2 linked regions of the Lonchura striata genome follow. The protein of the gene in region 2 interacts with the protein of the main gene of each other region in a pairwise test. Links are inferred from orthologs where the notes say so. Each region holds a gene or a part of one and is shown on either strand. Other genes may lie near its edges.

Region 1 (15,383 bases), on a different chromosome or scaffold from region 2:
TATACATATATATATATATATAAATACAAAGATATAAATTGTATGTCTATTATATAAATTTATATAATTTTTACACAATTTACGTAAAAACATAAACGATATAAAAACCTAAGGGACGTCTCTCGACTACCGCGAGCCACGCCATTCGGAACGAAGCCAAGAGGAGCTCGCTTCCATGAAATCCCCCAATCCCGTGGGGCTGTTCCCGTACCTGCCCGGCGTCCAGGTAGTGCGTGACCTGCAGCACCAGGAAGAAGACCCGCAGCGATTCCTTCTGGATGGGGTTGCCCTGCCAGTTCTCCACGATCTGCCCGCACAGCGTCAGCAGCGGGTGCACCTCCTGCAGCTTCCGCTCCATCAGCAGCAGCTGCAGTGCCAGGGGAAAGCGGGAGAATCCCGAGGGAATGGCAGTGCCAGGGGAAAGCGGGAGAATCCCGAGGGAATGGCAGTGCCAGGGGAAAGCGGGAGAATCCCGAGGGAATGGCAGTGCCAGGGGAAAGCGGGAGAATCCCGAGGGAATGGCAGTGCCAGGGGAAACCGGGAGAATCCCGAGGGAATGGCAGTGCCAGGGGACACCGGGAGAATCCCGAGGGAATGGCAGTGCCAGGGGAAAGCAGGAGAATCCCGAGGGAATGGCAGTGCCAGGGGAAAGCGGGAGAATCCCGAGGGAATGGCAGTGCCAGGGGAAAGCGGGAGAATCCCGAGGGAATGGCAGTGCCAGGGGAAAGCGGGAGAATCCCGAGGGAATGGCAGTGCCAGGGGACAGCCGGGAGAATCCCGAGGGAATGGCAGTGCCAGGGGACACCGGGAGAATCCTGAGGGAATGGCAGTGCCAGGGGACAGCCGGGAGAATCCCGAGGGAATGGTAATCCCTCAGGAATGGCAATGCCGAGGGACAGCCGGGAGAATCCCGAGGGAATGGCAACGCCAGGGGAAACCGGGAGAATCCCGAGGGACAGCCGGGAGAATCCCGAGGGAATGGCAGTGCCAGGGGAAACCGGGAGAATCCCGAGGGAATGGCAGTGCCAGGGGACAGCCGGGAGAATCCCGAGGGAATGGCAGTGCCAGGGGACACCGGGAGAATCCCGAGGGACAGCCGGGAGAATCCCGAGGGAATGGTAATCCCTCAGGAATGGCAGTGCCAGGGGACAGCCGGGAGAATCCCGAGGGAATGGCAGTGCCAGGGGACAGCTGGGAGAATCCCGAGGGAATGGCAGTGCCAGGGGAAACCGGGAGAATCCCGAGGGAATGGTAATCCCTCAGGAATGGCAGTGCCAGGGGACAGCCGGGAGAATCCCGAGGGAATGGCAATGCCAGGGGAAACCGGGAGAATCCCGAGGGAATGGCAGTGCCAGGGGACAGCCGGGAGAATCCCGAGGGAATGGCAATCCCGAGGGACAGCCGGGAGAATCCCTCGGGAATGGTAATTCCAAGGGACAGCCGGGAGAATCCTTCGGGAATGGTAATTCCAAGGGAAAGCCGGGAGAATCCCTCAGGAACGGCAATCCCAAGGGAAAGCCGGGAGAATTCCCCAATTCCGGGATTCCCCAATTCCAGGGATTCTCCAATTCCATGGATTCCCCAATACCATGGATTCACCACTTCCATGGATTCCCCAATTCCATAGATTCCCCAATTTCAGGATTCCCCAATTCCAGGATTCTCCAATTCCATGGATTCTCCAGTTCCATAGATTCCCCAATTCCACGGATTCCCCAATTCCATAGATTCCCCAATTCTAGGATTCCCCAATTCAATGGATTCTCCAATTCCAGGATTCTCCAATTCCAGAAATTAGGATTGGAATATTCACCTGATTCCCACCCCTCTCTCCCCCCCCAAAAAAAAAAAAAATCCTCTGGAATTTGCAATTAAACAGGGAATAATTTATTTTAAAAAGATTTGCAACTCACCATCCCCTTGCTGAGCAGAAAGAGAGCTCTGGAATAAAGGAAAATAAAGTTAAATTCCAAAAGAAATTACTCCATCCACAGGAAAAAACAAACAAACAAACCAACAAACCACCAGGAAAAACAAATCTGCCTTTTTCTCCCACTAAAAACAGGGAAAAAGAGAATAAGGGCAGCTGATAGAGGAATTCCCAGGGAATTAGGGGAGGAAATTCCATAGAATTCAGGGAGGAAATCCCAGGAATTCAGGCGGGAAATCCCAGGGAATTCAGGCAGGAAACCCCAGGGGACTCCAAGAAGAAATCCCAGGGAATTCAGGGAGGAAATCCAGGCAGGGAATCCCAGGAAACTTGGGGATGAAATCCCAGGGAATTCAGGGATGGAATCCCAGGGAATTCAGGCGGGAAATCCCAGGGAATTCAGGGATGAAATCCCAGGAACTGAGGCGGGAAATCCCAGGGAATTCAGGGATGGAATCCCAGGAATTCAGGGATGAAATCCCAGGGAACTCAGGGATGAAATCCCAGGGAATTCAGGGATGAAATCCCAGGAATTGAGGCGGGAAATCCCAGGGAACTCAGGGATGAAATCCCAGGAATTGAGGCGGGAAATCCCAGGGAACTCAGGGATGGAATCCCAGGAATTGAGGCGGGAAATCCCAGGGAACTCAGGGATGGAATCCCAGAGAATTCAGGCAGGAAATCCCAGGGAATTCAGGGATGAAATCCCAGGGAATTCAGGCGGGAAATCCCAGGGAATTCAGACGGGAAATCCCAGGAAACTCAGGGATGAAATCCCAGGGAACTCAGGGATAAAATCCCAGGGAATTCAGGGATGGAATCCCAGGAAATTCAGGCGGGAAATCCCAGGGAACTCAGGGATGGAATCCCAGGGAATTCAGGGATGGAATCCCAGGGAACTCAGGGATGGAATCCCAGGGAATTCAGGGATGGAATCCCAGGGAACTCAGGGATGAAATCCCAGGGAACTCAGGGATAAAATCCCAGGGAACTCAGGGATGGAATCCCAGGAATTGAGGCGGGAAATCCCAGGGAATTCAGGGATAAAATCCCAGGGAATTCAGGGATGGAATCCCAGGAAATTCAGGCGGGAAATCCCAGGGAACTCAGGGATGGAATCCCAGGGAATTCAGGGATGGAATCCCAGGGAACTCAGGGATGAAATCCCAGGGAACTCAGGGATGGAATCCCAGGAATTGAGGCGGGAAATCCCAGGGAATTCAGGGATGAAATCCCAGGGAATTCAGGGATGGAATCCCAGGGAATTCAGGGATGGAATCCCAGGGAACTCAGGGATGAAATCCCAGGGAATTCAGGGATGGAATCCCAGGGAACTGAGGCAGGAAATCCCAGGGAACTCAGGGATGAAATCCCAGGGAATTCAGGGATGAAATCCCAGGGAATTCAGGGATGGAATCCCAGGAATTGAGGCGGGAATGCCGGGATCCCTCGGGAATTGTCACCTGGTGTACTCGGAGCCCACCACGCGCGCGTACTCGGCCCCCACGCCCAGCAGGTCACAGGCCGACACCAAATCCTTCTCCAGCGTGTGGAGTTGCTGAAACGGGAATAAAAACAGCCACAAAAACTCAGGGTTTGCTCCATGAATCCCAAGAAAACACCATTATCCCTGGATTTGCAAATTCCTGCTCCTTAAAGGGGTTTCACGCCCGTTTTCCAAAGACGTCTGTGGCGTTTCCAAGGATTTGTCTGAGCCCAGAAGGGTTTTTTTCGCCTTCAAATTCCTAATTAGTGAGAAATTGGTTAAAAATGGCAAAGGGTGAAAATCCAGTGTTGATCAGATCCCAACAGCTCCAAAAAACCCAGGGACTGTCACACTGGAGCAAGAGTTTTCCCAGCAAGAGGAGCCTCCGAGGTGTGCTCCCAAATTTGATCCCGTTCCCAACCCCAGGTGGGAATTCAGGAAGAGAACAAGCTCCAAGGAAATGGGAAAAATGGGAAACTCCAAGGAGAAGAAAAGCTTCGGAGTCCTCAGGATGAACTCCTGGAAAACTAAATATTCCTTAATCCAAAGGGAATTAAAGTTCTTTTTCCATAAATACGCTTCAGCGTGCCTCTATTCCTATAAATATTTTTTAATTTACAAGTATTTTGGAATGTATTCCAAATCAGGAACAAGAATTTTCCTTGGATTCTTTTCCTTGCTCCTTTTCCTGGTTACTTTTCCTACTCCTCCCATCCCACATTAGACATAAAACAACGCTCCCAACCCCAGCAGGATTTGCTCTCCCTGCAAACCCCAAAATGGATTTTCTCCCTCCATCCTTGGAATTCCAGGTCTCCGATTCCCACAGAGTGATCCTGGCCGATTCCTTGATCCAATCCAACACCAACTGCCTTTTCCCTCTCCACTAACGACAAATTTTTAGGAACTAAAGGGATAAAAAGCAGCCGTTTGCAGCAATGTTTTAGGGAACATCAGACTGCAAGGCTTCCAGGCTGCTCTGAAGGGGGATGCAGGATTTTTCCAGGGATTTTTCCCCAGGAATTGCTGCTGCAGGGACTCACGGCCAGCTGGAAGAGCAGCCTGCAGTGCCAGTAGGGAGTCTGCTGGGAGATCTGGATGGCTTTTCGCAGCAGGGGCTTGGCCGTGTCCACGGAATTCTGCAAGGCAAAGAGCCCCAGTCAGCACCCAGCAGCTGGGAATTCCCGGGAAAACCACGGGAATTCCCGGGAAAACCACGGGAATTCCCGGGAAAACCACGCCCGGAGGCGAGGCTGGGAGGGGTCAGAGTGCTGGAAAAAAAAAAGAAAATTAAAGTGGGAGAAGTTTGGGGCTGCTCCGTCCTTGGAATGGCCACGGCAGGGCGGGATGGGACTGGAGAAATCTGGGATTTGGGAGAACTGAAGAAATCTGATAGGAGAAATCTGGGATTTCGGGAGGACTGGAGAAATCTAGGATTTTGGGAAGATTGGAGAAATCTGGGATTTTGGGAAGATTGGAGAAATTTGGGATTTTGAGAGGATTGGAGAAATCTGACAGGAGAAATCTGGGTTTTGGGAGGACTGAAGAAATCTGGGATTTTGGGAAGATTGGAGAAACCTGTGATTTTGGGAGGCCTGGAAAAATCTGGGATTTTGGGAAGATTGGAGAAATCTGTGATTTTGGGAAGATTGGAGATATCTGGGGTTTTGGAGGTTTGGAGAAATCTGGGATTTTGGGAGGTGTCCCTGCACGTGGCAGGGTGGGATTGGATGGGATTTAAGGTCTTTCCAATCCAAACCATTCCAGGATATTCAAAATCCTGAGGGAAATTATGGATTTCCCTCCCTCTCCCCTGCCCGTAAAATTAACATTCGTTTAATAAGGACCCAAAGATTTATTTGGCCAAGCAAAATCCTCTTGCAGTGGGAAACTCTTGCTGCAATTCCAGCAGGAACTCCCTCAGTAAGGAAGGAAAAAAGCCTCTCGTGGCAGAAATGGGATTTTTTCATGGGATTACCCCGTTCCAAGCCCAAATCCGAGGGGCACAGAGGGGTTTTGGGGGGTTCTCTCACCTCCTGGCAGTAGAGCTCCGACAGCAAACTGGCTGCCTCGAACTTCACATCTTCAAACTGGGGGATCTGGCACCAGGGTTAAGGGAAACACAAAATCTGGGTGGGAAAGAGCAGCAAAGCCTCCAAAACCCCTCAGGAAAATGGGGGTGAGAGGGGATTTAAGGTCCCTTCCAACCCAAACCCTGCGGTTCTGTGAAAGCACATTAAAACCACCCATCCCATGCCCCCGTCCCCAGGCCCTTGAGGTGTTCTGGGGGTTTCCTTGGAGCTGTTCCAAGCACGGAGCTTTTCCTGGATCCCGGGAAAAGGATACCTGCTGGGATATCAGCCACTGCAAGAGAACACAGCGGGTTAGGCTGGCACGAACCCCCCCAGCACCGCCTGGCACCCTCCTGCTCCGTGCCCGGAGCCTCCCACCGCCGCCTGCCCTGCTCCTCATCTTCCCCCGCCGCCAGCACCTCTCAGCCGCCCCTCCCGCCTCTCCTCACCTTCTCCAAGAGCCGGAGCCCCGCGCCCACCGCCCCCAGCCGCTGCCCGGTGCCCCCGAGGCCGCCCCAGCGCCGCTCACCGCCTTCTCCAGGTGCCCGCGGGCCTGGTCGCCGTTGCGGGTGTGGTGGTAGAGGACGGAGCCGAGCTGGAGGTGCGTGCGGGCCTCCATGCGGGCCGGGGGCTTGCGGGGCAGCACGGCCTGCAGGCAGTGCACGCACAGCCGCACCTTGGGCGGGCTGGACGTGCGGAAATGCTCGGCCAGGCCCAGCAGCGCCAGGTACCACGACTCGCCCGCGGCCGCGCCGCCGCCCGACCCCGAGCCCGCCGCAGGCCCCGCCGCGCCGCCGCCGCCTCCGGCAGCTCCGCCGCCGCCTCCCGCGCCGCCCGCCGCTCCCGCCGCCTCCCCGGAGCCGCTCCCGCCGCCTCCCGCCGGCTGCGGCGGCTGCTGAGGCGGCGGCGGCTGCTGAGGGGCCGCCGCGCCCGCCGCCACCGCCGCCATCTTGGGGCCGCCGACAACACCGCCGCGGGGCGCGGGGCACGACGGGACTTGGAGTCCGAACGCCGCCGGCGCGGAGGGGCGGTGGGAGTTGTAGTCTGCCCTCCCGCACCGACGGAACGCGGGGCGAACCGGGGAACGAGCGTAGCGGCGGAGCCGCCAGAGCGGGGCGGTTCGGCCGCCCCTCCAGCGGGGCTCGGCGCGGCGGGAGGAGCGGGGAGAGCGGCGCGGTGGCTCCCTGAGGGACTACATCTCCCAGGGGCGCCGGCGCTGGCGCGGCCCCCGGCGCGGCGCGCCCGGCGCGGGGCACGCTGGGACGGGGGCTCCAAAATGGACAACCAGCGGGATGCGCCAGGTACGGCCCGGCCGGGCGGCCCCCGCCGCTCCCGCCGCTCCCGCCGCTCCTCCCGCCCCGCCGCCGCCCCCGCCTCGCCCCGCCGCCCCCGGGGCTCCGGGACGCGGGGGTGGCGTGTGCGCCCGGGCTGGGGGTGTGCCGGCAGGGTCGGGGGCTGCGAGAAGCCGCCCCGTTAAATCCCCTCCTTTTCCCCCTCCTCGTTCCGGGACGGATCCCCGCCGCCGTTCCCGGCTCGTTTTCCCCTAGGGAAGCCGGGCTGCTGGTTCGGGATGGCTGCTCTGTTAATTCCCCCCGTTCTCCCTCAGGAAAACCGAGCCTGGGGTCCGGGGTGGTCTCCCCGTTATTTTTCCTCTCTTTTTCCCCCAGGGAAGCAGAGCCGATAGCTCGGGGAGGCTCCACGGATGATTTTTCCTCCCCTTTTCCCACAGGAGCCCCAGCTGTTCGTTCCCTCTCTTTTCCCGTAGGAAAGCTGAGCTGGTGGTTCGTGGAGACCCCGCTGCTGATTTTTTTTCTCTTTTTATTTTGTAGCGAAGCTGAGTTTGGGATGATCCCTCCGTTTATTCCTTCCCTTTTCCCACAGGGAGAGCAAGCCTTGTTTTGGGATGATGCCTGTGTTAATCTCCTCTCTTTTCCCACAGGGAATGCGACCCTTGATTCAGGATGGTTCCTGTTAAATTCCAGCTTTTTCCCTCAGGAAAGATGCCCCTAATTTCGGGATGGTCCCTGTTCTTTCCCCCTTTTTTCCACAGGGAAGACCAGCCTTGGTTTGGGATGGTCTCTCCCTTAATTCCTGAGGGAAGCTGAATTCAGGGTGGCTCCTACTCTAATCCTGCCTTTTTCCCACAGGGAATGTGAGCTTGATCTGGAGTGATCCCTATTAAATCCCACTCTTTTCCCTCAGGGAATGCGCCCCTGGATTTGGGGTGATCCCTGTTCAATCCCAGCCTTTTCCCTCAGGGAAGGCACCCCTCATTCACAATTCTGGAGTTAATTCCGAGACAATTCCCAGACTAATTCCCGCTTTTTCCCTCAGGGAATGCGTCCCTTATTCCAGACAATTCCCGAGCTGATTCCCGCCATTTTCCCTCAGGGAATGCGCCCCTCATTCCAGACAATTCCCAAGTTAATTCCTGCCCTTTTCCCTCAGGGAATGTGTCCCTCATTCTGGACTATTCCCAAGCTGATTCCCGCCCTTTTCCCTCAGGGAAAGCACCCCTGATTCCGGACAATTCCCGCACTGATTCCCGCCCTGTTCCCATAGGGAATGCGCCCCTCATTCCAGCCAATTCCCGTGCTGATTCCCGCCCTGTTCCCATAGGGAATCCACCCCTGATTCCAGGCAATTCCCGTGCTGATTCCCGCCCTGTTCCCATAGGGAATGCACCCCTGATTCCGGGCAATTCCCGTGCTGATTCCCGCCCTGTTCCCATAGGGAATCCACCCCTGATTCCAGGCAATTCCCAGGCTGATTCCCGCCCTGTTCCCATAGGGAATGCACCCCTGATTCCAGCCAATTCCCAGGCTGATTCCCGCCCTGTTCCCCCAGGGAATCCACCCCTGATTCCAGGCAATTCCCAGGCTGATTCCCACCCTGTTCCCATAGGGAATCCACCCCTGATTCCAGCCAATTCCCGCGCTGATTCCCGCCCTGTTCCCATAGGGAATGCACCCCTGATTCCAGCCAATTCCCAGGCTGATTCCCGCCCTGTTCCCCCAGGGAATCCACCCCTGATTCCAGGCAATTCCTGCGCTGATTCCCACCCTGTTCCCATAGGGAATGCGCCCCTGATTCCAGGCAATTCCCAGGCTGATTCCCGCCCTGTTCCCCCAGGGAATGCGCCCCTGATTCCAGGCAATTCCCAGGCTGATTCCCGCCCTGTTCCCCCAGGGAATCCACCCCTGATTCCAGGCAATTCCCAGGCTGATTCCCGCCCTGTTCCCATAGGGAATGCGCTCCTGATTCCAGCCAATTCCCAGGCTGATTCCTGCCCTGTTCCCATAGAGAATGCACCCCTGATTCCAGGCAATTCCCAGGCTGATTCCCGCCCTGTTCCCATAGGGAATCCACCCCTGATTCCTGGCAATTCCCAGGCTGATTCCCGCTCTGTTCCCCCAGGGAATCCACCCCTGATTCCAGCCAATTCCCGCGCTGATTCTCACCCTGTTCCCCCAGGGAATGCACCCCTGATTCCGGGCAATTCCCAGGCTGATTCCCGCCCTGTTCCCATAGGGAATGCACCCCTGATTCCAGCCAATTCCCAGGCTGATTCCCGCCCTGTTCCCCCAGGGAATCCACCCCTGATTCCAGGCAATTCCCAGGCTGATTCCCGCCCTGTTCCCCCAGGGAATGCACCCCTGATTCCAGGCAATTCCCGCGCTGATTCCGCCCTTTCCGCAGGGAAGGCGAGCCGGTGGTTCGGCGTGGCGCAGTCCAGGGCGGCCAAGGCCAGCGTGAACATCCTGCAGCAGGAGGAGCTGATCGCCCAGAAGAAGCGCGAGATCGAGGCGCGGCTGGAGCAGCAGGCGCGGCAGAATTCCCTCAGCATCCCGCAGCTCCCGCTGCTCGGAGAGTGCGTGGGAATCCCGGGAACAAATCATCCCGGGAACGAATCCCGGGAACGCCGGCCTCCTGCCTGCCGCCGCTGGGAAGGGAGCCGAGGGAGGAAATCCCGCTTTTGGCAGAGCAGAGGGAGGAAAATCCCGATTTTAATGGAGTAGAGGGAGGAAAATCCCGATTTTAATGGAGCTGAGGGAGGAAAATCCCGATTTTAATGGAGCTGAGGGAGGAAAATCCCAATTTTAATGGAGCAGAGGAGGTTTTGGTGGATTGAGGAGCAAGAATCCCAGTTTCAATGGAGCACGGGGGAGAATCCCAGTTTTAATGGAGCACGGGGGGGAAATCCCAGTTTTAGTGGAGCAGAGTGGGGAAAACCCCAGTTTTAATGGAACAGGAGGAGGTTTTGGTGGATCAGGGAGCAAGAATCCCAGTTTCAATGGAGCAGAGGGAGCGAGATCACAGTTCTAGTGGAGCTGAGGGTGGAAGACCCAATTTTAATGGAGCAGGAGGAGGTTTTGGTGGATTAGGGAGCAAGATTCCCAGTTTTAATGGAGCACGGGGGGGGAATCCCAGTTTTGGTGGAGCAGAGGGAAGAAAATCCCAATTTTAATGGAGCAGGAGGAGGTTTTGGTGGATCAGGGAGCAAGAATCCCAGTTTCAATGGAGCACGGGGATGAAATCCCAGTTTTAATGAAGCTGAGGGAGGAAAATCTCAATTTTAATGGAGCAGAAGGAGGAAAATTACGATTTTGGTGGATTGGGGAGCAAGAATACCAGTTTTGGTGCAGCAAGGGGAGGAAAATTCCAGTTTTGGTGGAGAAGAGGGGGAAAAAATCACAGTTTGGGTGGATTAAGGAGCAAAAATCCCAATTTTAGTGGAGCGGTGAGGGGGAAATTCCAGTTTTGGTGGAGCAGAGGGAGGAAAACCCAATTTTAATGGAGCAGAAGGAGGAAAATTACGTTTTTGGTGGACTAGGGAGCAAGAATCCCATTTTTAGTGGAACAGGGTGGGGAAAATCCCAATTTTAATGAAAGAGGAAGAAGATCTGGGGTTCTTTATGTAGTACGGTGGTAGGTGAGGAAAATGACCAATTCCAGGGGTTTTTCCTGTCCCAAATCCCACATGGGAAGGGCAGGGAAGCTCCCAAATTCCAGCCTCTGTTTTTCTGTCCCCGCTCAGTGACGACGGCTCCGAGAGCGAGGCCTCCGTGTCCAACAAGTTCGTGAACGATGGGAGCTTCCTGCAGCAATTCCTGAAGCTCCAGAGGGAAAAATCCAATGCTGGTAGGTCCTTCCTTTCCCAGCCCAATCCTGGGATTCCCGGGAATTCTGTCCCCGTCATTCTGCCCTCACAAACTGCCCCAAATCCCCCAAACATTCTGAGAATGCCCCAGCTCCAAACCTGGGGAGGAAGCGGCCGGGGCAGACCTGGAGCCTCTCCCAGCCCAACCCAGGATTCCCAGGAATAATTTCCTTTCCGTCTCACTTCAGAAAATGCCCCAAATCCCCCCAGCCCCAAACCCCGGGAAGAATCCAATAATAATTTCCTCATTTCCCCCAGAGAATGCCCCCGGCAGCTCCCTGGCCCTGATCCCCAGGAAGGATCCAATAATAATTTCCTTTATTTCCCACAGAAAGTGCCCCGAATCCCCCCGGCAGTGCCCCATCCCCAATCCCCGGGAAGGATCCAATAATAATTTCCTTTATTTCCCACAGAAAGTGCCCCGAATCCCCCCGGCAGCACCCCATCCCTGATCCCCAGGAAGGATCCAATAATAATTTCCTCATTTCCCCCAGAGAATGCCCCAAATCCCCCCAGCCCCAAACCCCGGGAAGGATCCAATAATAATTTCCTCATTTCCCACAGAAAGTGCCCCGAATCCCCCCGGCAGCGCCCCATCCCCGATCCCCGGGAAGGATCCAATAATAATTTCCTTGTTTTCCCCCAGAGAATGCCCCGAACGCCCCCATCCCCAAACCCCGGGAAGGATCCAATAATAATTTCCTCATTTCCCCACAGAAAGTGCCCCGAATCCCCCCGGCAGCGCCCCATCCCCGATCCCCAGGAAGGATCCAATAATAATTTCCTCATTTCCCCCAGAGAATGCCCCGAATCCCCCCATCCCTGATCCCCAGGAAGGATCCAATAATAATTTCCTTTATTTCCCCACAGAAAGTGCCCCGAATTCCCCCGGCAGCACCCCATCTCCAGTCCCCGGGAAGGATCCAATAATAATTTCCTCGTTTCCCCACAGAAAGTGCCCCGAATCCCCCCGGCAGCGCCCCATCCCCAATCCCCAGGAAGGATCCAATAATAATTTCCTCATTTCCCACAGAAAGTGCCCCGAATCCCCCCGGCAGCGCCCCATCCCCAATCCCCAGGAAGGATCCAATAATAATTTCCTCATTTCCCTCAGAGAACACCCCGAATCCCCCCGGCAGCGCCCCGGCCCCGATCCCCAGGAAGGATCCAATAATAATTTCCTCATTTCCCACAGAGAATGCCCCAAATCCCCCCATCCCCGGGCCCCGGGAAGGATCCAATAATAATTTCCTTTATTTCCCCCAGAGAACGCCCCGAATCCCCCCGGCAGCGCCCCATCCCTGATCCCCAGGAAGGATCCAATAATAATTTCCTTTATTTCCCACAGAAAGCACCCCGAATCCCCCCGGCAGCGCCCCATCCCCGGGCCCCGGGAAGCGGCCGGCGCTGCTGAAGCGGCCGGCGCCGGCGCGGAGCCGCGTGCTGCAGGCGCGGAGCCTCGCCCTGCCCAAGGCCGGCCCCGGCCTCCGCCGCCTCAGCGTCTTCCAGGGCCCCGACGAGGACAACGAGGACGACGAGGAGCAGTGGCTGGAGATCAAAGGTCAGCGGCGGCTCCTGCCCGCGCCTGGAGCGGGAACGTGGGCAGGAATCCCGGGAGGAGTGGGGATTTGGGATAAGAGATCCGTTTGGAACAGGATTCCATGGGAGGAGTGGGGGTTTGGGATAAGGGACCCGTTTGGGACAGGATTCCCTGGGAGGAGTGGGGGTTTGGGACAGGGATCCGTTTGGGACAGGATTCCCTGGGAGGAGTGGGGATCTGAGATAAGGGTTCATTTGGGATACGATTCCCTGGGAGGAGTGGGGGTTTGGGACAGGGATCCGTTTGGGATAGGATTCCCTGGGAGGAGTGGGGATCTGAGATAAGGGACCCGTTTGGGACAGGATTCCCTGGGAGGAGTGGGGGTTTGGGACAGGGATCCGTTTGGGATAGGATTCCATGGGAGGAGTGGGGATCTGAGATAAGGGACCCATTTGGGATAGGATTCCATGGGAGGAGTGGGGATCTGGGATAAGGGATCCGTTTGGAACAGGATTCCCTGGGAGGAGTGGGAGTTTGGGATAAGGGTTCATTTGGGACAGGATTCCCTGGGAGGAGTGGGGATCTGAGATAAGGAATCTGTTTGGGACAGGATTCCCCAGGAGGAGTGGGGGTTTGGGATAAGGGTTCATTTTGGATAGGATTCCATGGGAGGAGTGGGGATCTGGGATAAGGGATCCGTTTGGGACAGGATTCCCCGGGAGGAGTGGGGATCTGGGATAAGGGATCCATTTGGGACAGGATTCCCTCAGTCCTAGTGGGAAGTTGGCTGGATTTATGCTAGGATAAGGGACAGGGCAGGGCAGGATTCCCTCCCGGAATAGGGCTTGATTTGGGACAGGATTTGGGGTGGTTTTATCCCAGGACAGGGCTCGATTTGGGACAGGATTTGGGGTGGTTTTATCCCAGGACAGGGCTCAGTTTGGGACAGGATTTGGGGTGGTTTTATCCCAGGGCTCAGTTTGGGACAGGATTTGGGGTGGTTTTATCCCAGGACAGGGCTCAGTTTGGGACAGGATTTGAGGTGGTTTTATCCCAGGATAGGCTCAGTTTGGGACAGGATTTGGGGTGGTTTTATCCCAGGACAGGGCTCAGTTTGGGACAGGATTTGGGGTGGTTTTATCCCGGGATAGGCTCAGTTTGGGACAGGATTTGGGGTGGTTTTATCCCGGGATAGGCTCAGTTTGGGACAGGATTTGGGGTGGTTTTATCCCGGGATAGGCTCAGTTTGGGACAGGATTTGGGGTGGTTTTATCCCGGGATAGGCTCAGTTTGGACAGGATTCCCTCAGCCCCATTGGAAAGCTGGTTACTTTATCCCTATTTACCATAAATGTGTATTCCCAGCACAGTTTTGGGGCAGATTTCTCCTTTATGGAGTGAAAATTCCAGCAATTAATGCTGGTGGGCTCTTCCAATTCCAACTGAAATCTAAGGGATGAAATTCCTGACGTTTTAGATATGAAATTCCCAATATTTGACTTATTGAATTCCTGATATTTTAGATATTCCTGACCTTCCTTGAGTTCAGTGTTTAAACATTACTGATCTCAGCCTGGAAAGTTTTTTGTCTTCAAATTGTCTGAGAGCTTAGCCAGGCAAAAATATCAGAAAACAACAGATAGGAGAAAATGTGTATTGATGGATTTGGTGGGTGGCAAATCCCAAAAATTCCATTTGCACCTTTGGAATGTTGTGCTGGGCTCTCCAAGAAATCCTTATTCTTGTCCTTAAAATGGGATTTTGGGGGGTTTAAGTGCTGGAAAAGGAGGAATTAGTTTGGGAACATGCAGGGCAAATCCATGCGTGCGAATAAATAAAACAAACGACACATCCAGCACGGAGCTGTTCCCAGGTAAAATCCAAAATCCAGGTAAAAAAAATCTCACCTGTAGGTCCTGAACGCCTGGAAAAACAAGGAGTGGCAGGAATTATCCCGGGTTTTATTGGGATAATCCAGGGCAGGAAGCCCCGAGGCAGATTTGCCTTAGAATGGGAATTTCACGGGTGGGTTTTAATGGATAAAAGGAGCTCGGCTTTGTGGCTGCCTTTATCCATGCCCAGAATCCCACAGAACCCTTTCTGCTGGGATTTGTACCAGCACAGGCCTGGGAATTCGGGAACTGAGCGTGAAACGTGCTGGGAACCTGCAGAGAGCTGCGCTGGCTTTGCCGTAATTGCAGATTCTGGGGCTGATTCCCAAAATTCCCAAAATCTCCGGGTTTATTCCCACTCCGTGATCCCTGTAGGAACTCCTGGGCACAGAAACCAAACTCTGCCTTCCCAAAATTCCCAAAATCTCCGGGTTTATTCCCACCCTGGGCACGGAAACCAAACTCTGCCTTCCCAAAATTCCCAAAATCTCCGGGTTTATTCCCACCCTGGGCACGGAAACCAAACTCTGCCTTCCCAAAATTCCCAAAATCTCCGGGTTTATTCCCACCCTGGGCACAGAAACCAAACTCTGCCTTCCCAAAATTCCCAAAATCTCCGGGTTTATTCCCACTCCATGATCCCCGTGAGAATTCCTGGGCACAGAATCCAAACTCCAAGGGGTTTTTTTTTTGGAGCAGGAAAAGCTGCTGCTCCGGCCACACAGGCTGGAATGTTCTGGGAATGGCTTGGCAGCTGGAATATGGATTAAGCCAAATTCCTGCTCTTTCCCTGCTGGGATTTTTAGGGAACAAATCCAGCAGGAGCCAACTGTGCTAAAGCTGGGATGAGCTGGGCACAGTTGAAACCTCCAAACTGGGATGGGGTGGTGGATTCCCAATCCCTGGAATGCCCAAGGAAAGTGGGAGAAGGGAAGGCTCCAGGAAAACCTTGGAGCTGCTTCCAGATCCTAAAGGGGCTCCGGGAGAGCTGGAGAGGGATTTGGGACAAGGGATGGAGGGACAGACACAGGGAATGGATTTAAACAGAAAAAGGGGGATTTGGCTGGGATTTTGGGAAGGAATTCCTGGCTGGAATGGGCTGGAATTCCCAGAGAAGCTGTGGCTATCCCTGGGAGCTGGAGAAGGGAAATTCCAGGCAGAGCTCTGGGCCTGAAAGGCCTCCGGGAGAGCTGCAGAGAATTTGGGATAAGGGATGGAATTCCAGGAGCCAGGGAGTGGCTTCAGACTGAGGGAGGGTGGATTTAGGTGGGATTTTGGAGCTGCAGAGAATCTGGGATAAGGG
Region 2 (14,921 bases):
ACTACAAAAACAAACATAGAAGAATTAAGAAATGTTAGAATTATGGTTGCTTATACCTATATTTTAGTTCCTTATGCATTGTGATAGTCATTGACGAAATGATCATATAACATTTCTTGTTATTCACAGGATCACTGCCCCATATATGGCGCATGACATACACGTCATGAAACACAAACTTACAAAGTAAAAAGAGGTGCTTTATGTGGAACATAAAACTTTCCTACTAAGGAATTTGAATAAATTAATAGTTAAACAGTTAATAAAACCAGTTCACTAAGAAGTTTCATTGAAGACATCTTTTGCCAAAAACTGACATTTATTAAAAACAACTCTTCTTAAAAATAATCAAAACCAAAACAAACTAACAAAAAACTTCCACAAATGTACTCTTGCAGAAAATCTGCACACGACAGAAAGGAAATAAGTTAATAAGACTAAAGTGCTACTTATTCTGCCTGTTCCATAATGTACTCACAGCCCTTGAGCCACACATTGAGCATGATACAAAAAAACATAGGGGAAGAAAAAAGTTCAAGAACTTTTGTGCCTGATACAATTACACATTTGTCCCTACATCCCCAAAGCAATTTTCTGGCTAGGAATGTACTTACTACACCTCAGAACAACCTTGCTTCACTAACAGTCTTAGGGGAGCCTGACCAACTGTCTGACATGGCAGTGGTCTGACCACTGGTGTAGAGTTGGGCATTCAAGCACTCTATATCAAGTGCAACAAATATCAGATCAAGAGCCAAGAGCCTTAACCCCAAGAATCCCAACCCAATGCTTAGGATACTTTCCAACAGGAACTAGCAATCCTAGAGAGTAACAGTAACATTTTGTATCTCTGTATTCAATACTGTAGCAGTAACATTTAATTACCTGGGCGATTTGAGTAAATGATACATCACATTTTCTCTGCTCCCTGATAAACCTCAAGAGATAGTGATTATTTTCTAGTTTCTCAGGACAGGCAGTTTGTTTTTTTCCAATGGTTGGCATAATCAGAAGAGTTGAAATTTAATAGATATTTAAGGCCTTCAGTGAAAACCTATTCTATACTTCTTACTTATTCTTACTTCAGGAGGAGAAACAAACTAACAAGTTGATGTGAAGAGCACACATGACCACAAATAAGGCCAACAAAAAAATTGTTATGAACTTCCTAAGTGCTATAAAGTAACTTTAAAAATCTGAAGAGTAAAGCATGTCACAGTAGATACGATTTATAAGCTTTCAAAAATCACTGTTTTGATTCCATTTCGGTCTTGCATCTATAAAACTGAAGAAATATTTGACAGATGTTCAAAAAAAAGCTCTCTGAAGTCTGAAAAGTGCCTTGTTTTGAGATAACTATGAATTAAAATATGAAAACACTTCAGCCTTCCTGAAGGACTGGGGTTTACACAGCAGGTAATAAGGCAAGAGGCTACACACTGAATGGTTAAGTATATAAGCTAGGTTATAAACGTGGTTAGCTGGCATATCACATGCACTGGATGAGGCACTGAGCTGGGCTGCAAGGGTAGGGTTGAATACTGTGGTGCTGTTAAAGGCCCAGCTCCTCAGTCGCTGTTTCTTTATAGGACTCCCTTATTTTGCAGCCTAGAGCTTTCTGACACTGTTCCACTAAAATGCATTGCATGTCTACACATATACACTGCTACAAAAACCAGAGCACTTCAAATCAAACCACAGCAATAAAATTAAAAATTTAGTTCTCTACTAATACAAAAAGAATCTGAGATCTCTGATTACTTACACTTAAAACCAATACAAATTCTAAAGGCCATAAAATTACCTTTTCTAGAATTTTTTATCACTTCAACATGAAAACTGGTCTTGGATATTTACATTATTTTGAAGTTATTTGTGTAGACCAAGTAATCACCTTAAAAGACGTATCAACAATCACATTCAATCTGACTGGAATCCTTTTTGGTTTCCACATACAGTTGGGCCAAAATGCTCTCTTCCCTCCCTTTTGATGGGGAGATTTTCCATGGTTAGCAGTAGGGACAGGAAGTGAAACACAAATGACAGGTGCTACACGATCTCCTCAAACGCAATTTCCTTACACATGGGGTGTCATACATGTCAATATAAAGCACTTCTTTTGCACCTTTTGGGGGTCAGGATCAGCAACTAAGAATTATGTTTATAATAGAAAGAAAATAAAAATACAAATGTAGATTAATTATATTAAGGACTTTGTAATTGTTAAATACTTGTTTTCTTAATTTCAATAATACTTCCTTTTTTATTATTAAAAGGGATCATTATTGTACAGAGTTATTAGCAAAAATACACAGGTATAACCAATTTCAAGCATTTCCTTGCAGGTTTCTCTGCAACTGATTGTTCATTACTGCTGATGTTTCAAAATCAGATGCTAACCTAACCCAAACTACTTCTAATAAAGGCAAATCAAAAACAAGATAAAAAATAAGTGGTATGATACTGAAATGGCCGTTTTAACATTCAAATGTTAAATACTTTTAGTGTTTTGTGATACTAAATAGCCACCCTAATGCCAGCTGACCCACCTCACACCTACACTCAACAAATTCTCAAGCTATTGCTACTCATATTTTTCTGATTCAGTATTCCCATGGTTGTTATCCAAATTACACACATTCATGAATATTACACACTCCTTTAACATAATTTCTAGAAATCATAAAGTTGTGAATTTGAAGACTTGATTTCTTTCCTAGGCCTAGATATTCAGGATAAAAGTTTTTTTTTTTCTCTCTAGTTACAGTATTTATCCAGAAACTTCATATGCCTTGTGCAATTTTTATGAAATATTAATATAAATGCAATACAATTAGTCCAACACTTTGTAATGTAATATTTTTCACCTAGTATGCTCCAAAATATAGTTTATTTATATTGCAAAGGACTATATATATGAAACACTTAGGATTAAAGTTGTAGTACCTTAATAATTACACTAATGCAACAACACAAACAAAACTCTTCTGTCCTAAGGAAATTACTATCTATGTCCTTGATTCTTCAAGAATAACATTTATATACATGGAGTCCCAAGCATAAGGTTTCATGGGGTACCTGTGCTTTTATGTAGAATAATGATGTTCAAAAGGGCTTAGGTATATAATTTTGCTTCTCTGATCCATCTTGCTTCTAAGTCAAAATTTAAACACTGCAAATTTAAAAAAAATATATTATTTTACTGGTATGCCTGCTTCTGTGTCTTGATTTTTTACAAGTAAAAAACCAGCTTCAGCTTGAATCAACAGTAAAAGACTTCAGGAAGAGATTTGTGTTGGACTAACTTCAGGTAAAATGTTCAAAAATTTGAGAGGAAAAAAACTAACCTGTGCAGAGTAAGTAAACTCAAAATGCACAAAGCAGGCAAAAGTGCAAAATAAAATGTAGAAATAAGCATTTTCCTCTTTTTGATAAAGTAATAGTTACAACTAGCCTCTTGAGAATAATTAGTTTTGTATTTCTACAACATCAATAAAATAAATACATTGTCTTTAAGCAGCTAGCTGCTATGATAAACACCAGAACCAGCAGAAGCTCCTAACATCAGGAGAAAAGTAGTATGAAAATGCTACAGGCCTGCTCCACATATGCACACACACACTCTCAAATATGATAAAACATGCAATTCAAAAGGAAAATAAGTCCTCTTATAAATATTTCAATTTTAAATATTTCTGTTAAACTATATAAACTGTGATCAAGCAACTAATTCCAGATTAACCACATATGGCTCATAAGAACAAACCCAAAAAACGAATTACAATTAAAATTGACAACATCTTATATTTTCCTTTATATAATGGGAAAAAAATACAAGTGTTTTTCATTCCAGAAAAGTGCATCCGTTCTGAAAAAAAAAAAAAAAAAAAGGGAAAAAAAAAAAAAAGGGTGCTGTAAACACAACCACACAGCCCTGGCAAGATAAACTTGACAGGAACTGTGTAACTACAGTAGCTCATTTCCTGCTCATATCGAGAATATTTAAAGCAACCCTCCTTAAATGAAAAATCAGTCAGAAAAGTTCACTACTGTTAGCTCAACAAACACATTCTTCTTAGAACGGCAGCTGCCTGAAACATAGACGCAAGAAACGCTAGGGCTGTAATGTCGCTTCCTGATGATGAAAACTACCCAAGAACTACAACTACTTCTGCACAGTCCTTTCTTTCCTGTGAAGCAGAGTTACACTCGGTGTCCACTGTACACTACACGGCAAAAGCAAACAGCAATTCTGCTGTTAGACACCGAGGTGGGGACAGTTAGAGACGACTAGTGGCTCCCTCTGCATTTTACAAAGTTTAAAAATAAAAAGCTGCTTTTTCGAACTGTAAATGGTTCCTCTCCACGCACGTAGGCCTGAGGCCCTGTTGCAAACAGTGTCTAACAGGACCAGGCAGCACAAAGACAGGAATGGGAGATTAGTGGGAGGAAGGGAGGCCGCGATTGGGGCTCAGCAGGATCTTCTGGCTTTTTAAAATTCAAACTGCTCCCTGACCAATACAAATCACGGACACGCTACTGACTACTACACGGATTTACAGCATTAAAAACACGCCTTCTACGTGACAGCTATATTAACTTCACCCTTTTAAACATGTATCAGGGCACGCGGGAGGCACGGTAGCAGTTTCGTTTACAAGTCTCTGAACACAACGCCCCAGAAAGTTACTTTATTAGATATAGTAACCATATATTATAACAGCAAATCTACCTGAATAACCAAAAAGCCTGCTGAAAATTTAACAAATTATCTAGTATCAATAAACGATTGCCACTAACAAAACTCCTCGCTACAAGGATGGAAACTTTGTATCTTAAAATTTCTTGCAGCAATGTAATTTCTGTAGAAGTATTTTTATTAGTTCACAGGGTGTTTGTTTAAATGTGCCTAAGTTTTTAGCAACACTTACAACTCTACCACTTACAAGTCTTAGATTTACTTTATTGCACGTCAGCTACTATTTATTTATAAAGACATGAGACTAATAACAGTCATTTTCAAAACACAGTTGACCTGTAAAAATTATGCCTAATTACATATTCAAACATCATAGACACAAACAGCCAATAACAGCCTCAGGATCTCAAAGTGATATAGCCTGACAAGAAAAGATGACACTTTTTAAGCATTCCTCACATTGCACTTAAATAAATTTACATGTGATTCTGAAGTACTTTGGTTAAGATCTTATCTTCACCCTGGTCCCTTAAATGTCATAAACACAGCATTTTACACACGATCCCTTGCTTGTTTTCTGTTTACTAGAAGCAGAAAATGGCATTCCTTCCTTTAACATATATTCCTGTAGTGTATACAGGACACAGACACAAAAATTGTGTGGAGTACCTGATACAATATGCTTGGCTACCTGTATTTCCTGGGTCTGCAGGTGTCCAATGTTGTGTCAATATCCTTCAAGCACTATTTTATGCTATAAATATACTAAGTCATTAACATACTAATCAATAACGTTATTTAGAAATGAGACGTCTGCAGATTATAAAAACAAAGCATTTAAACTTTTGAATGTTCAGATCACACTTGATTAGAAGAATAAGGTGATAGCAAAGACAAGTGGCATTTTTGTTCCTGAGTATTTACATTGTCTCCTTCCCTACGCCTCCACTTACTCCTGTCCCACTTCAAAGGGCTGTCTGCGCTGGGACCCTCCTTCCTTGCCCTAGGTGAAGTTGTAAATATGGGAAAGGATCAATGCACATTTGCGACTAATTGCATTGTTTCCTCCTCCTCCTCCTCCTGCTGCTCTTTTCGGGTTGAGGCCTGTCACTGAGCAGCCGCTTCGCCTTTCTAATCCCCGAGCTGGAGTAAAGGCGCTGGCCGGCGGGCCTGCGCCCTCCGCCGGGCCTGGGCCTTCCGGCAGCCCGGCACGAACCATCCACCTCCGCCAAACCCGACCGAGAAGGAAGGGGGGGCTGCGAAATAAACACCTCCGGTTGCCACTTACTCCCCTCTACCCTGGATAGCAGCTAATCCCCTCTGCTCCCGGCAGTGCTGGGCCGCTGGGCTGAGAGGCCCAGCCCGCTGCTGGAGAGGGCAGGGAGGGGAAGGGGAGACAAGGAGGGGGGATTACCTGAGCAAATCGGCGTCTGAATCCAACGAGAATCCAAGAGGGGGGGAGAGAAATCCGCCCCCCTCCCTCCTCAGAGGAGCCGCCGCCGCCGCTGGGCCGCCGCCGCCGCCGCGGAGCAGGAGGAGGAGGGGAGATAATATAACAACAATAATCCGGGCCGGGAGGGGGGCTGGCTCCTCTTCCGTCTCCTCCTCAGTGCAGCGAACATGTAGAGCCGGGGGGTGTGCGGCCGAGGCAAATCCCTTCCCCCCGAGCCTGCTTCACAACATCAACACGGGCCGGGCCGGGCCGCGCCGCGCCGAACCGGTTCCGAGCCGGGGAGAGCGGAGGGTGGCCGAGGGGCAGCGCTGCCAAGGGGCCGCCGCCGCCGCCGCTCCCTCCGAGAGTGCGAGCGCAGGAGGGCGGGGAGGGGCGGCCTGGGCACGGTGAGTCGGTACCGAGCGGGGGGGCAGAGGGAGAGAAGGGCGAGGAGGAGGGGGAAGGATCCTGTGTGTCTCTCTCGCTCCCTCTCAGAACAAAATGCCGACCGGAAGTGCAGCGGCAGGAATGACTCCCTCCACCGGCGCCAAACACCAGCAACCTCCCCCTTCCCTCCGCTGCCTCCTCCTCACCCGATCGCTCCCTCGCTCCACCAGCGCCGCTTCCGCCGCTGCAGCTGGAGGGGCTCCCTTGCCTCGCCTCTCCCGGCAGTCTCCCCTCCGTAGCTCCTCTCCCTTCCACACCCCTCCGGTTGCTGCACGACCTTCTCTATTTTTTTTCTTTTTTTATTTTCCCCTTCCTCCCTGCCTTTTGGTGCGCGGAACGAGACCGAAGCTTACGTTTAAACCTGCTCTGAGGAACTGTGAAGAAGGGATTCTCTTGGAAAAAGAATATACGTTTTGGTGTTTTTTGTTTGTTTGTTCGGGTTTTTTTGTTGGTGGTGGTGGTTGGTTGGTTGTTTTTTTTTGTCCTGCCTAAGCATGGTGGAGAGGACGAGGAGGAGGACTGCCGAAGGCTGCCTCGCAGGAGGCAGACCTGGAAACAGCCCTTAAACTGAACCCTCAAGGGCGGCAGCCCCTGCAGGTGGGACACTCGCTGGAGTGACTGTCGCCGCTCATGCCCGTTCTCTGTGGACGTGAGAGGCCGCCCCGCAGGAACCAAAGACCCGCTGCTCAAAGCATTGCCGGGGCGAGGGATTTCCAGATGGACATAGGGAACGAGAGTGACTTTCAAAAACGGACTTTTTGGACCAGCACTGGGGAAAATACTGATCAGGTGAAATGTCCTTCGCTGGAGGCTCAGGCTCCACCACCACCAGATTTACTGGAAATATTTTTTGTGTTGTGAAGGAGTGTTTGGAGACAGAGCATGTCCTGGTCTGAAAGACTTTTTGATGTCCCGCTGTACAGGTAAAACTGAATAATTATAGCACAGGGTAATAATGAAGAAGCATTTACATCCCATGAATTAACTGTGTCTTTTGGTACTCACTTAATGTCGATTTGCTGCTCAGTACTTGGACAAAATTCCTTTCATTTCTAGAGGAAGAACTCCTTGACTGTCGACTTCAGGAATCAGCTGGACACAGCTGTAAATACCCTGTGACATATAAACACACCCTTTCAGCGCTGGATGAATGTTATTTGCACAAAGGGATAAAATCTTACACCAGTGCACCTGATCTCTCCAATGCTTAGGATTTTTTGAATAGTGCTGTCTTTAATACAGATTTCAAATGCCTCTCTTATGCTTAAACTACTACAAAATTCGTAATTTTGGGTGAATCAAAGTTTGTCTTAAAGTATGTTTTTGCTTAAAAGCACAGAAATGAAGAGGGCACTGGAAAACACGGTAATTCAGTAGTGGAAATACTATTGTTCCAATGACACGTATTAACAGAGACAGAGTAAACTGGGTTCTGAAAAAAATGTATTACAGACCTTTGTTCCAGGTTAATAGAAAAGATCCTAAAATCGTTTATGCATTTATAATTTGAAGTTAGCAATTTGAAATAAAGGTAAATAATTGGTCTTGCAAACAAAGTGTGTCCTTATGTCTTTGCACTTAATTTAATACATTGCAACTCTGCAACTCAAGGGGAAAACTATTTACATTCTCTTGGAAATAAAATATAATTTAAGGAGCTACCTATCTGGAATTCACCTAGCATATGTATGTGTACTTATACATCTATGAATTTCCAGGAAAATGTAATTCTAAAATTACAAAGCTCAGGAATACTATTTCGATCTACTTCTGAGTGATTGTTACCGATTCATGTTGATGTAGTCTTTCCATGATTTTAGCAATCCATTCAAATAATTATTTTTTTCTTAGTTCGTGAATTAATATGTAAATAAAATACAGAACATTGAAATTTTAATTTTCAAATACCAAATATGTTTTGGATTTTATGGTCTGGCACAAGTCCTATTTGATTATGGTTTCAGTGAGAATATCACTAGATCATTTAATGCTTTTAAAATACCATTCAATTAAAAGATCTTGTAGAAGTGGCTATTTTACTTGAGTACTATGCTGTATTACCTGCACAAGAGAACAACTAATTTAAGCCATTAGTTCTTCTAGAAGGTGGTGTGTAACACACATGGGCAAATCAGGAATTTATTTTCCTTAAGGAAATTAAATATTTTTATTATGCTTTTTAAAATGAAAGATCGAATACTTTGTCTTCATTCAGACAAGCAGTTGCTTGTATTCTGCTTCAAAAGCTCACTCACAACAATCTATTGCAGAATGGATGTTCACTACATTCCTAAAGCACCTTAGTATGCACAGGGTTCGTGTCATTATGCCTGAAATGACCAGTGAAGTGATAAATCAAGTATTTCAGATTACCTGATAACTACTGCAAAAAGCCTTTAAACCTTATTTGTGTTCCAGGCCTGAGTCATGGGGTGGGGATAGCCCTAATCTGTATGGGAGGAGCTATGCAGCCATGCAACCATGACTGTAGCACACTAAGGAGCATACACTGCATGAACAAAACTGGTGGCAGTATGGAGAAGGGCAGAGCTCTCTGAATTACCCTGACAAATCCACACCTATGTAGTCCAGAAAATTAACTGCAAGTTTCAGGGTAAAGCTTTAGAACCTAATCCTGCTCCCTTTGATGTTAAGGGCAAATGCATCTTCTGCCCAAAACAAATGACTGAGTTCCCCTAAATTTAAGCTATTTATCCAGTCTGTTACTCTTAGATTAGTTTTTTGTTCTTCAAAGTAAATTTTAATTCAAAAGGCAGGAATTTAAAAAATCTTCATGGAGAGACTACTCATAACATTTTCACAAAACATATGGAAAGCTGTAAGTATGTCTCTTGCTGCTGTTTACAACTGCTGCTGCTGTGTACTGAGATAAGCTTTATAAATGCAAAGATAGTATTGCTGAAAATAATAAAGAAGGGACCTCTTTTGCCCTCTTCACTCTGATGTTAACTTCCCTGACTGCTATATGTTGTTATTCAGCTTCATCAATTATGTACAGCATGTAATACTGGAGTAAAATAAAACACCTGGAACTAATATTTTCCTTAGATATTATTGTTGTAATTTGTTGGGGTTTTTTGTCGTTTTGTTTTGTTTTTTTTTCTGTAGAATTAATGAAAAATGCATTGGTTTTTATCATTTTTGTCTCTTTAAGGGCCAGTATAACATTCAAATACATGTAATTTTAAGTTGTTTACCTGTTACTTTAAGTTGTGATGCACAAACACTGCTTTCTGTTTACCTCTTAGTAATTCATAGGTATGTATATTACCCTTATTACAGTATATGTATTTCTAAGTAGATATTTAAAATAATTAGGACATAACAATAAAGTATTTTTTAAAATTACAACTGTATATTTTATATACTCTCTCAATAACTGGAAAGAATTTTCCTATAAAAAGTGGTAGCTGGTTATCTGAATACAGTAATGCAATTGTTATCTGTCATCCTAAATTTAAGTACTTTATAAGAAGTACTAATAGAAGTACTATTAGAAGTACTCTATTAAGAATTCTATAAGAATCTGGTGTTAAGGCTGTACTACACAATGATTACGAAGAATTTCATAATGCATGCTGTATGACAACTAATACAAAGGTATATTCTTTGCATTGCCTTTAGTTCACAGGAACAAATAATAGCACCATGTAACTAATTGACATGGGAATATTCGCTGTGGAAAGTAAGCAACCTAAATATGAAACTGACAGTGGCACAGGCTAAATAAAAAGTCAAAGAAGCCTGAGGAGTCAAATGTTTGTATGGTTACTTCCTTAAGTTTACAGCTTCATGGAGACTACTGAATTTTATTTCTTTTTCCTGGTAAACCAGATGGATGCAATATTTTTTCCTTCTTCTAATTATTTAGCTTAATTGACTAAGAAGAATTTACTATGAAATTAAATGTACATTTTCATTTTAAGTGGCAAACTTGTGTTATCTCTACCATGTTAAGAATGAGCTTCTGTTTGTACTTAATATGAATTCTATGGCAGGCATATATGTTAAATTGTACAATAATGTTTCTATGAAGAAAAAATGACAAGACAAAATTCTGGTAGTTTCATTTGAATGTTAAAGTAAACTCTTAATTATGCAAAGTACTAGGGATTCTGAATATAGTTAAAATAAAGAAAATTAAAACATGTAATTTAGACTACAAAATATGTGTAATAATAAGACACATATTCAATTATTCATATATTCAATAAGGCAAATATTCAATTATATAATTGAAAAAAGACCAATGATAGACTGCTGGACAAGATTGTCCCAGAATTGTTATATCAGGGCTATAAAAACAGATCTAACAGAAGCTGATTTTTTAGAGAAGATACATGATCAGTTGCACATTGCCAATGATATTCTTTAGGTCCTTTTCTCACCATTGCTGGACTTCAGAAAGGAAGCAGGTATCATTCCTGATACATGCTGTGATTTCCTATAATTTTTGTGGTGGTTTTTTGGTTTGGTTGGGATTTTTTTTCTTTTGTTATTTGTTTGGTTAGTTTTTGGTTTTTTTTTTTTGTTGTTGTTGTTGTTTGGGGTTTTTTGGGAGGGGAGGTTGTTTTTTTTGTTCATAATTTGAGCATTATATAACTCTATTCTCTCAATTGTCTTGGTTTGTCTAGGCACTGGGAGGACAACTTACTGTCATGTTAGCCACATCAGAAATACTGTTCAATTTCCTACAAGACTGTTGTTGAGGCCCACTATGGAAAAATTTAAGAGAGAAATACAAAAATATTCAGGCTTTTTTTTTTTTCTTTCTACACTTTTTAAGAGGTAAAACTAAATAAATACAGAACTTCACAGGCCAGCAAATAAATGTGGACAGTCATCTTCTGGCAAAAGACAGAAGTTAAAATTGGTCTTAAGGGCTGTTATATTCAGCTCTGCATTCAAAACATCATATTTGTATGCATTAAAAAAATTGAGAATATCACAACATGCCTTGCCATTCCATTTTTAATGAACCTGCCAGAAAAGGAAGATTTAAAACAGAGATATGCTTATCTATATAGCGTATGTTAAAAGAAGTGCCTTGGGCTCAGGCCTTTAAAAACTGCTTCCTTGGAAGAGAGAACTTTCCTATTTTTCAGAAGTGTTAATTATCCTCAGCCAAAGCATGAAATGGCTACATATAAATATCAGGTTAAACATGCCTGGGACTGTTCTCTGGCATTGGAGCTTGTAGCCACATAATGTTCCATGTTTTACCCAGGATAGTCACATGTATTTTTTACCCATTGAGAATGGTTCGTGACTAATACTAATGCCTAAATTGTGCACAGGAATTTTCTGGGAAAGTGCAAGCTGGCATGCTTTGAGCCTGTGCCAATGTCTGTTCAAATACTTTAATGTGCAATCTTTAGACAGATTATTTCCAATGTCCATGCCTGTTCCAATTATGTTGCATTTTATAGACACACCTAAAGCAGTATTTTCAAAGTGACTTGATAAAAGGAAGGTAAGAAGAAACTGTAGCTCCCCATCTAGGGATAAATCACATTCACATTTCTAATTATTTATTTAGTCAAGCAATTAATGATCTGATACAGTAACCTGATAAAAGAAAGTTGTTTGAAATTTGGCTATCAGTTGAGATATTTGTTCATATGAAGACATTTTAAAATAAGTCCTACACAGTGTCTAAACCAGACTTCTAACCTGTAGCAGATGTCCTTCTTAGTTTAGACATCCTGTGGCCTTTATGAAAGGATGTTACAGTGAGATTGTGCAATATAGTGCAATAAAATGAAATAAGTATGAGTAACTTTTGCACTTCTTTGAGTTAAGGCTGTCAGCATCAATTTGTAATGAAAATGACTTCTGAAGCCTAATTTATTGATTTTAAGATAAGAAAAGAAAATGAGTAAGGATAAATAAAACATAATCTGTTACTTTCTGAATGCTGAGTATTCAATTTATAACTTTTATTTTCATCTTTTTTTTTTAATGTAGCTGGACATGTGCTGGAAATTTGCTTCTAAGTATGGCCACAGGGACAAATAGCACTGCATCTACTTTGTCAGGACTTTAGAAGATGTGTGGGTGCTCCATTAGCGAACCAGAAAGCAGTATAAATTTATCACTTATTTAATTTCTCACATACTTGCAATACTGTGCATTCTGAAGCACAAAACCTTTTTAAAATTTTTGTTTAAACTTTTGACAGGGACAATAAATGGTCCAGAAAATTGAGATGCTGACATGGAGAAGCTCAAATTAAATGCAAATATATGTCTCTGGCTGGATGACACAGCTTAAAAATCACGTCAAAATTATCTATTTATGGAAAATGTCCTTTTCTCAGTCATGATGTATTTAAATTCCTGGTTTTGATGTTTACATTTCTGTATTTATCCTCCCACTAGTTGAAAATACATGTTCAACTTCATCAGGTTTCTTAAACATAATTCATATATTAAAAGATGAATTCACCATTGAAAATTTTTGCCTCAAAGGTATACACTTGAAAAAATAACACACTAAGCATAAGCAGTTTGCTTAAAGCTTATAGGTAAGTGGAAATAATTTTAAAATTGTGATGATAATGAAAGACCACTAGTGTACACAGCATTGTTAATTTGTAGTTTTGAATTATTATTGTACATTTTGTAGGTTTACCAACTTTTTCCACTGTTGATTGCATTCCAGTGCAAGTACTCATATGAAAAATAATAGTGACTCTCCTGAGGAAGCTGTGATCTGTATACCTGTGCTATTGCTAGTATGTTTTCCATGCTGGGTTCAATTTGTTAACGTGGTCTGTTATCCATAAACTTGCTGTTAGATAAAATGCATTACAGCTAATTGTCATAGGCAGTGCTCTTCAAAAATCACCGTAAGAAGTAGTTTAACTTTCTGAAAAAAAGAGAGCCAGATTCCACAAGAACATGGGTGCATGTCATCACCACCAAAAACAAAGACACAAGTGGCTGGCACATGTTTTGTTGGATATTTGAGGGATAGGCATATGTGAGAAAAAGAGATGTAAAATGCCATAGAAACAGATGCAGAGAAGCCACAGATACCCATACACAGGCCTGAGCAAACCCTGGGAATGTAGCTGTAAGAAAAGCAGAGCAAGTGAGATTCAAGATGACTATCAACCAAAAAGGAGCTGAGACCTTGAGTGAAACATTCACATGGTTTCAGAGGAAAATAATGAACACACAGTCTTTATAAATAGAGTTCATCAAAACATCTGAAGCCATCTATTTTTTCTGACCAGAGACACTGCACTAACCAAGTCAAATTAAGTAAGAATACGCTACCAATTTTAAAGACAGTTGCCTTCTAAATAGATCCTTAAATTACAATAACCTGGCAACTTTCAAAATATGAATTTCCCTGTCAGGAAAATATGTGCACCACAAAATACTCTATATACTTTCATTCGCTAGACTTTTTCCTAAACTTACTCGTTACTTTCATACCTTCCATTGCTATTTCCCCTCTTTTCCAGACTTAAGAAAGTATTTTGTTTATCCCAGGCTACACTAGTGACTACTCTCCTCTGGTTAAAGTGCTTTTTTCCTCCTGTATTTCCTTGGGCAATGTTTATATTTTCTCTGCCATTAGGTTGTATTTTCCCTAATGTTTTGGATTGTTTCCTTCTTATTCGCTCCCAAAGGTTAGAGGCAGCATATAAATGTCTTTATATTATTTTCCTATTTTGATTTTTCTTCATTGGCAAAATAATCCATGATGTGAATCTCTATCTGCTTCACTTAAAGAATCGTTAGGTTTTTTTTACTGGGTTTATTTTTTTTCTTCTAAATTGTGTTTACAGAATAGTCAAATGCCCAAAGAAGAATGCACTATGAGTTGAAAGTGAATGAAAAACTGACTTTGGTGGGTATTCCATTTTAATACTATAGAAAAGGAATTTGTGACTGAAGAATGTTCAATCAAATAAGGGATAATCTGCTGTCAAAGAGATTATTTGCAAAAGCCATGCTATAAATTTCTGTTTAAATTATAGGATAGCACAAAAAGTACTTACATGAAAACTGTCACAAAAATTGATCATTCCTTTTAAAATTTTTTTTCACACCAAACTTCATTTAGACTAGTTAGTGCAATTTTTCTTTTTAATTTTAAAATGTAAATGTTCTGCTATGTTTATTATTGTCTGCAAATTACTTTTCAGATTGCTAAACTCGGATGTTGCCTCATAAACTTCGGAAGTACTGAAGTTAACTGTCCAGCCTAGGGGCATGCCAAGTAGACTTGTTACCCATATCTGAGCTTTCCTTTAGAATTAAATTTAATGAAAAATTGATAATATAAAATTAGTGATAGACAGATGTT

The links.
Region 1: the proteins of NIPBL (region 2) and MAU2 interact in binary tests that used the Homo sapiens proteins (3 or more experiments, as listed by UniProt). The link is inferred for Lonchura striata from reciprocal best matches to the Homo sapiens genes NIPBL and MAU2.

Annotation. Positions count from the first base shown.
Region 1 is NC_134630.1:7,624,191-7,639,573, reverse strand, and holds the start of MAU2 (MAU2 chromatid cohesion factor homolog), read right to left. Parts: upstream 6,438-15,383; coding exon 6,018-6,437; intron 5,781-6,017; coding exon 5,763-5,780; intron 5,516-5,762; coding exon 5,450-5,515; intron 4,556-5,449; coding exon 4,460-4,555; intron 3,489-4,459; coding exon 3,394-3,488; intron 1,942-3,393; coding exon 1,914-1,941; intron 368-1,913; coding exon 212-367; intron 1-211. Other genes in the region: SUGP1 (SURP and G-patch domain-containing protein 1), read left to right, coding at 6,765-6,789, 9,188-9,359, 10,527-10,630, 11,998-12,210. UniProt on the Homo sapiens protein: Plays an important role in the loading of the cohesin complex on to DNA. Forms a heterodimeric complex (also known as cohesin loading complex) with NIPBL/SCC2 which mediates the loading of the cohesin complex onto chromatin.
Region 2 is NC_134642.1:37,524,718-37,539,638, forward strand, and holds the start of NIPBL (nipped-B-like protein), read right to left. Parts: upstream 7,715-14,921; 5' UTR 7,584-7,714; intron 6,395-7,583; exon of another isoform or gene 6,114-6,394; intron 1-6,113. UniProt on the Homo sapiens protein: Plays an important role in the loading of the cohesin complex on to DNA. Forms a heterodimeric complex (also known as cohesin loading complex) with MAU2/SCC4 which mediates the loading of the cohesin complex onto chromatin.